Drosophila melanogaster: one gene and its partner. The protein of the gene in region 1 interacts with the protein of each later gene in a pairwise test. Each region holds a gene or a part of one and is shown on either strand. Other genes may lie near its edges. The genes, in order: Tmlh and CG7488.

Evidence for each region.
Region 2: the proteins of Tmlh (region 1) and CG7488 interact in a two-hybrid assay, tested with the Drosophila melanogaster proteins (2 studies listed by BioGRID).

The regions. Positions count from the first base shown.
Region 1 is NT_033777.3:20,405,936-20,409,556, reverse strand, and holds Tmlh (trimethyllysine hydroxylase), read left to right. Parts: upstream 1-1,685; 5' UTR 1,686-1,733; coding exon 1,734-1,923; intron 1,924-1,982; coding exon 1,983-2,887; 3' UTR 2,888-2,942; downstream 2,943-3,621. Other genes in the region: eIF3g2 (eukaryotic translation initiation factor 3 subunit g2), read right to left, coding at 409-1,230.
Region 2 is NT_033777.3:12,993,754-12,997,724, forward strand, and holds CG7488 (uncharacterized protein), read left to right. Parts: upstream 1-1,866; 5' UTR 1,867-1,937; coding exon 1,938-2,871; intron 2,872-2,928; coding exon 2,929-3,116; 3' UTR 3,117-3,168; downstream 3,169-3,971. Other genes in the region: yellow-f2, read right to left, coding at 1-566, 675-1,064, 1,181-1,352; CG17327 (uncharacterized protein), read right to left, coding at 3,169-3,588; CG44194 (uncharacterized protein), read right to left, coding at 3,572-3,769.

The DNA of each region.
Region 1 (3,621 bases):
CGAAAAAATCGCATTTAAAACGGAGCATTATCGGCTTTAGTTCGCTCAAGGCGAGCTTTCTCTTTTATGCACTTAAAAAAAGCATCCACCTTGGATGTCCAAGGGTATATCAACTCGAAAATTGAGTGGTCCCAAATGAACCAGACTGTTTTTAACAATTTTCATATCTATCTCAATTCATATCCTTTGCTCAACTGAAAGATGAAAAAATCTACTACGAAACATTAATAAATAGATTTTATATTATTATTAATATATTCTCTGTAATTATCGAATGTGTGCAAATTAAAAATAAAAGTGGTCGCATATTTTGCAGGGTGTACCAGAATTTTATTTTGATTTCACTGCCACCGCAGCTCATTTCCGTTCTCGAATAAGCAGAGAAGCGAATACACAAGGCTATAGCCATTACGGCTGAGGCTTGGACCACTCGACGCAGAGGATCAAGTGGTCGTAGCCGTGGCCATTAAGAACCTCAATGGCGGCAGCTGCATCCTGGCGGAACTTGAAGTGCACGTAGGCGAATCCCTTGCAGAGGCCGCTGTTTTTTTCGCGCGCCAAATACATCTTGGTGTGTGGTCCGATTTTCTTTACCAGCTCCTCGAGATCAGTCTCGGTCATGGATTCGGATAGGTTTGAGATGCGAACTGCCGACGAATCGTCCCGATCCCGACCCCGTCCCCAATTTTTGCTGCCAGATATGCCTCCGCCGTCCTTCATGAAGGGTGGTACATATTTTCCGGTCTTGCTGGGATCACTTATAGCGGCAGCTGCAGCGGCATTGGCCTTGGTTTCCATCACGGTTTTGCTATCCATCGAGGTGCCCTTGTAGGGACAATTGACACTCCAGTGTTCGCCATTGCAAATGCGGCACTTGGCGATGTTCTTGCCGGGATCAAGTTGGGTTTCGTGGGTCTGGTCGAAATCTTTGGAGCCGATGAATTGCATAAAGATCTCCTCGGAGGCCATTGTCGTCTGGGAATTGGGTCCGGGCTTGTCCGATCGCGAATCCCCAAACTTAACCCAGTTGCGACGACGAGCCACAGCCTTCGGAACAATCTGCTTCTCGATCTTGAAGGTTCGCACCACTTTCACCTTCTTGCCATCATCGTTGAACTTATACTCCGTCACGTACTTGAAGTCGCCCTTAATGTACTCATTAGAAGGCGGCAGTCCATCCACATAGTCCGCATCCACCTCATCGGCCCAGGAAGTAACGAAAGTCTTCATTTTTTATGATTTCCCACACAACCGGTACAAAATGAATTAAAAACTTAGAGATCTCTAGTTTTAGAGAGAGTTTTTCCATTTGAATTTTACTTGGCCTGTTGAGATGGGAAAAAATCCCTTTCAATAAAAGATATTTGAAATTAATATTTATATTTTCTTTAAAGTAATGATTTTTTAATAAAAAATACAACAACTTGAGTAGCAATTCACTAAGATAACTTTGCAACAAAAACATACCATTCAATCAATCTTGATTAAATTATAAATTTTTTTACTTTCATGAGTTGTTCTTAATAATTACATATTGTCTTTAAATTCAATAAATTTATTAATCTTATAGTTATTCCGTAAACAAATAAGTTCTTATCTCTGACTTGAGCATGAAAGTAATCGCTCTCCTACTGATAACAGTACAATTAAAACCGAGCTGAAACTTAATCAAACTTTGAGCTGTTAGTTCACTTTCACTGCTCTAGTCCGTCGGTTGTTCTATTGGCATTAACATGTTGCTTTTGAAGCACCCGAAAACCAGCCAATCAATAGAAATCAATGAGTTTTGGCTCCGTGATCATTGTCGATGTGTGGAGTGTCTAAATTTCGAAACAAATCAGAGGCGATACGATGTCTTAGATCTACCAGCTGATATAATGCCACTAGATGTCAAATACGACGGGATGAATCTACAAGTGCAGTGTAAGAAAAAATTGATGTAAAATGCACCTAGCTTCGATTTTATTGGCCTGCCATTTTAGGGAGTGATGCTCACAAGTCGAACTATGACCTGGACTTTATCTTCGACTCACAGCTGGAGAGGTTGATAGGTCGGCGATCAAAGTCCACTAATCTGACACCATGGAATCGTAGCATTATCTTGCAAAACGAACGGCACTTACGATTCCCATTGCCCCAGCTGGTTTCCAGTGATAACGAAGTCAGATCCCTGGTTGAATCTCTGGTGCGTTATGGCATTGTCTTTATCGATGATGTGGCTCCCACCGCGAATATGACAGAATTGGCTCTGCGACGAGTTTTCCCCCTTATGAAAACGTTCTTTGGCGAAATGTGGACTTTTAGCGATAACCCCGATCACGCGGACACCGCTTATACCAAACTTTACCTGGGTTCCCATACGGATAATACCTATTTCTGCGATGCAGCCGGACTACAGGCTCTACATTGCATTGAGCACTCGGGATCGGGTGGCGAAAATTTCTTTGTTGATGGTCTGCATGTGGTTCACGAACTGAAACGCCGGTATCCCGCCGCTTATGATGTACTGTGCAGTGTCCAAGTTCCTGGAGAGTACATCGAAAAAGGGGAGCACCACTACCACACTGCCCCCATTATACAGGTGGATCCACTGACTCAGGAATTTGTTCAACTCAGACTAAATGTATATGATCGCGCCGTGTTTAATACCATCCCTCAAGCCGAAATGGCCGAGTTCTATGACAGTCTTCGCCAGCTTTTGCTAATCGTCAGGGATAAGCAACAGCAGTGGGCTCTCAAGCTATGTCCCGGCAGCATTGTTCTTTTCGATAACTGGAGAGTGCTCCATGGTCGAGAGGCATACACAGGAAGTCGTACCATGTCCGGTTCCTATGTGCAGCGCACAGATTTTCTCAGCAAGGCTCGAGTGCTGGGAATTATTGACTGAAAGCTTATTGAAAAATACCTAATGTATACCGAATTAAAACCTTTTATGAACTAAGAAATTATGATTTATTTTCTATACTTTCTAGTGCTCCGCATATTCCTTCAGCAATCATTTATGTATTATATGGTCCGTACCGACTTTTATACTTTTTGCAATGGGAAAGTTTCATGCGGATAACTTTAACACTGAGAGATTATTTTGTGGATAGAAGAACATTTAACATTGATCAATAATATATATACTTTACATGTTCGTAGCTGACTCCTTCACTTCGATGCAAGATACTGGCTTAAATCAACATCCTTTCTGCATATATATAAGTTTGCTTTTGATTGCTCAAATAAGAACATATTTTAAATTCGGTTCATATATCAGGAATAGCATACATTGTTAAAGAATCGTTGCGTATAGAAAAAAACACGCAAATTGTTCAAGCATATTTTTCTTTTTTCTGAACCGAGTCCCACTCCAATTCAATTTCGATTGCAAATGCTAACGTATCATAATAAAAAGTTACGATTACAATTGCTGGCCAGCGTCTAATTTTTGTCATAGGGGAGTGGATCGCATACAGAAAACCAGCAACAAAAATCATTTGGCATTTGTTTTTATGGCCAGCGTCTCATGTGGGTTTTCTGTATTTGTGTGCGAGAGTGTGTGTTTGGCATAAACAAACGCACTTTGAACTTTTTCATTTAAAAGTGAAATTACTTTTTGTTGGCCGTGCAGGTTAA
Region 2 (3,971 bases), 7.4 Mb from region 1:
GCCCACTCCGTTGCGCTGGATCTCATCGAAGAAGATCACCCCAGTCCCAGGATCGTAAGCGTGCATCGTAGACTGGGTGGACGGACCACGGCTTCCGAGTACCCGGAAATCGTTCCCATGATCGGAACGTGCGGCGTTGGATTCCTGCTGCAGAACCCGGTTGGAGACCACAAACTCATTCGTACTGGCCATGGGATGGAAGTAGGCATCGCGGCTCCCATCCAGTTTCTGGGCCCCCAAAGTTATTGAGAAGATGCCATCGTCCCAGCGGAAGGTCTGGCCGCCAATGCTGAGATCCCCGGACAGCGGATCGAAGTTGAAGTAGTTGTGCTCGAAGGACCAGATTCTATCGTTTCGCAGGTGATAGACGTACAGGCGCCGGTACACCAGATCCGGAATATAGGCGTAGGCATCGCCACACTGACCCGCCTTCACATCCACGGTGATGCTGGCCAATCCGCGACCCGTCTCAGCTATACTCTCCGGAACATCGAAGCGCTTCAGCACCTGATCCGTGGCCAAGTCAACTACCCAAATGCTGGGACGGCGGATCTGTTGGCGGTTATCTGGATATGAGAATCATGATTGAGTTTTTTATATTCTTGGTCACCAAATTAGATTAATACGGATCGATCCTGATCTTTTATATTACATGTCAATACATGCCAACTCACTTGGATACTCCAGCATTCCCGTGTCGATAAACCAGAGACGCTGGCATGCATCCACGGAGGTTCTGTAGACGGACACCAGATTCTCCGCACTCGCGTTGAACTGATTAAGCGCAAAGTTGGGATAGGCCCGCAGCTTGGGGCTGCGATTCGATCCGTCCTCGGCCAGATCGATGTAATTCAAGGTGGATGGGATGCCCACCCGTCGACGAGGCATCGTGACAAAGAGGCGGCCGCGGAAGTGAGTGGCTCCCATGGGCACGTTATTGTACGGAATGTAGGAGGCGTTGGGGTCGTCGCTGTCGGCGCGGGAGCTGACCACTACCGGTGTATCGCGGGAGGTCATAATCTTACGCTTTCGACGAGAATACTTTCCAGGAAAGACAACCGGAGCTAGTTGAACAATAAAAAAATAGTACATAAGTAAATACCAATAAATCTATCTAACAAGGCTCGCGAGATTGCTATTGCTGAATGAGAACTAGTAATATCATATTATGAGTACTAACCTGAAAAGCTGGGCCTGTCTTTCCTTCCGCCCGAGCTTAGATGGCCATCTCCGCGATTGTAAAAGTCCATCTGCTTCCATCGGAAGACCTCTATCATGGGATCAGCATCTGCCAAGGAAAGCAGCTGTAACCCTGAGATTAAACTTAGAATCAAAAATTGGGGCGATAACATTGCTCGGTTTTCCTGGGGAACTATAATCTAAGTTCGCCTTGCCAAGTTGAGGCCTCAATAGCGACTGAAAGCCAATTTGTTCCCAATTGGAATCTATTCTCACAGCGGTTCGAACGCAAATTATTAAAATTGATAAGAAAAGCGCGACTCTCACAAGTTCTCAAACCGGTTTTGTGACTTGTTAGCCTGATAATAATCGTTAGTAAAAATCTAATTATTTACATACAAATGGAATTATAAACAGCTTTCAGCTTTTCTTTCTTTTTATGTTGTATACATATATAAATCAATCACAAAAACATGAGAAGAACATTTAGTTGTAAGAAACGTTACGCTATTCGTTTATGAAAGCATTGCTGTTCTAGCAATATATTCTCTAGCAATTAATAATAATTAACCCAAAAATATAAATTTAATGCATAATTTCTAAACTTAGAAAACTAAAGCAACAAATTTCGCGCCAAAAGACTTAACGGCGATTTATTAAATTAATCAAATCACTACCAACAATCGATAAGAGGTATCGATATACAAAGCTGTTGTGTAAATCGTAATTTATTTAGCGTAAACAGTGTAAATAGCAATATGCGCTATAATCTGTTAGCCAGTTCGTTAAAATTGCTGAATAGCACGAAAACCCACAATTTGTTCTTGGTGAACGTGCGCAGCTTGACCGGCGCCGCCCACACCAACGATGCAGTGGCTCCGACCACGCGCCCACCGCCCGCAGAATCGAGGAATCCCGGAGAGGAGCAACGATCACTGCACATCGCGGTAATTGGAGTGCCCAATGTGGGAAAGAGCACGTTCATCAACAACACGGTGAACCACCGAGTGTGTCCCACCTCGGCCAAGGTGCACACCACTCGGCAGTCGAACACGGCCATTTACACCACCGGCCAGACGCAGTTGGTCTTTTACGATACGCCGGGCCTGGTCACGCAACATGAGATTCGTCGGCACCACCTGGACCAGAACTTTAAGAGTGCCTACCGCCATGCCATACAGCATGCGGACATCATCGCCGTGGTGCACGATGCCTCAAATGCCTGGACTAGGAAGGAACTGCATCCCACTGTCTTGGATACGCTGAAGGCGTATAGCAACCTGCCCAGTTTCCTGGTGCTGAATAAGATAGACGCCCTGAAGTCGAAGCGTTTGCTGTTGGATCTGATCAAGACACTCACCAACGACACCTTGACAGTTGGCAAGCGGGAAGTCCAGGCAAAAAGTGCTCTCGCCAAGGAAATAAGAATCAACAAGCGGGAGTCTAGCTGGAGCCATTTTAGCGACGTGTTTCTTGTTTCCGCCTTGACCGGCAATGGGCTGCAGGAGATGCAGAACTACCTGGTGGGCCAGGCTAAGCCCAGGGATTGGAAATACCCAGCTGACATTCATACGGACTCCAGCCCAGAAGCATTAATTGTGGAGAGTGTGCGGGCTCGTCTGCTGGACTACTTGCCGCAGGAGATACCCTACAACCTTAAGTGCGAGATCGAGTACTACAGTGTGGAAAAAAGTGAGTACTTCTGTACACTCGTAAAGAAATCCTTTTCAATTCCGATTTTCTTTGCAGATGTTGTCTACACATCCGTGCAGGTTCAGTGCCCCACCACGCGAATCGAGCGCCTAATCTGTGGCGAGGGTAATGGCAAGCTGCGGCAGATCACGGAGCGAGTTACATCAGACCTGGTGGAGATGTTCGGCCAAGCAGTGTCCCTTACTATATCTACAGTTTCCAAGGGCAAGAAGACCGCCGCTTGAGCACTTGTTGATTACTTGTACTTTATTTGTAACGTTGCATAAACCTAAGAGTTCACAAAAGCTTCAAATGCGCCACCAATTTGTCTAGATCTTCGGCAGGGGCTGGACCCAGTCCGAGGACCGTTGCTGTCCCAGATTCCAGCTGAGTGCGCCCGGCATCCCTCACCAAGGCGGCCACCACGTTCGACTCTTGGGCCTGTCGCTCCAGGGAGTTTAGCTGCTCGAAGTTGTCCACGCGCAGCACTATCTTCGGCTGTCCCAGGCGACACCAACGCTGCAGAATGGCGTTCTGCAGCTTGGTTCCCTGCACAGAGCTCTGGTAGCACATGACCGCCGCATGGGCGCACTGGGCCGCTGTCTTTCCCTTGGACATCTTTAGGTCGGTTCGGACCACCAGCGCCAGTTTGGTGGACTTGCCGAAGGCCAAACCGTTGCTGAGGAACTTCTGCAGGATGCTACTTGACGTGGGCATACTTCTGGCTCTGCTGCTCCACGTACTTCTGCATGCACGCCCGGAACTCTTTCACCTTCTCCTGGCAAGCCCTCCAGTCGCCCGTCTCGGCGATACACTCCTGCACCTTGTAGTGAAGCTCTATGCAGCCGGTCTTCTTCAGCATTAGTTCCACGGGATCCTGGTCCGTCGATGCGGACATTTTCTTCTCCACTTCGCCGGCTGAATTCGTTCGTTTCGAAATTACGAAATTCGGTCAGGGTTGTCAACACATCGAAGGGACACGGATATATTCTGTACGACATTTGGCCCACTATCGAATTGAAAGAATTTACTGTAAAATATATTTTCTTGCATTATAAATGTGTTTATTCCATAGACAGAATAGGAAATTTTTAGATCTT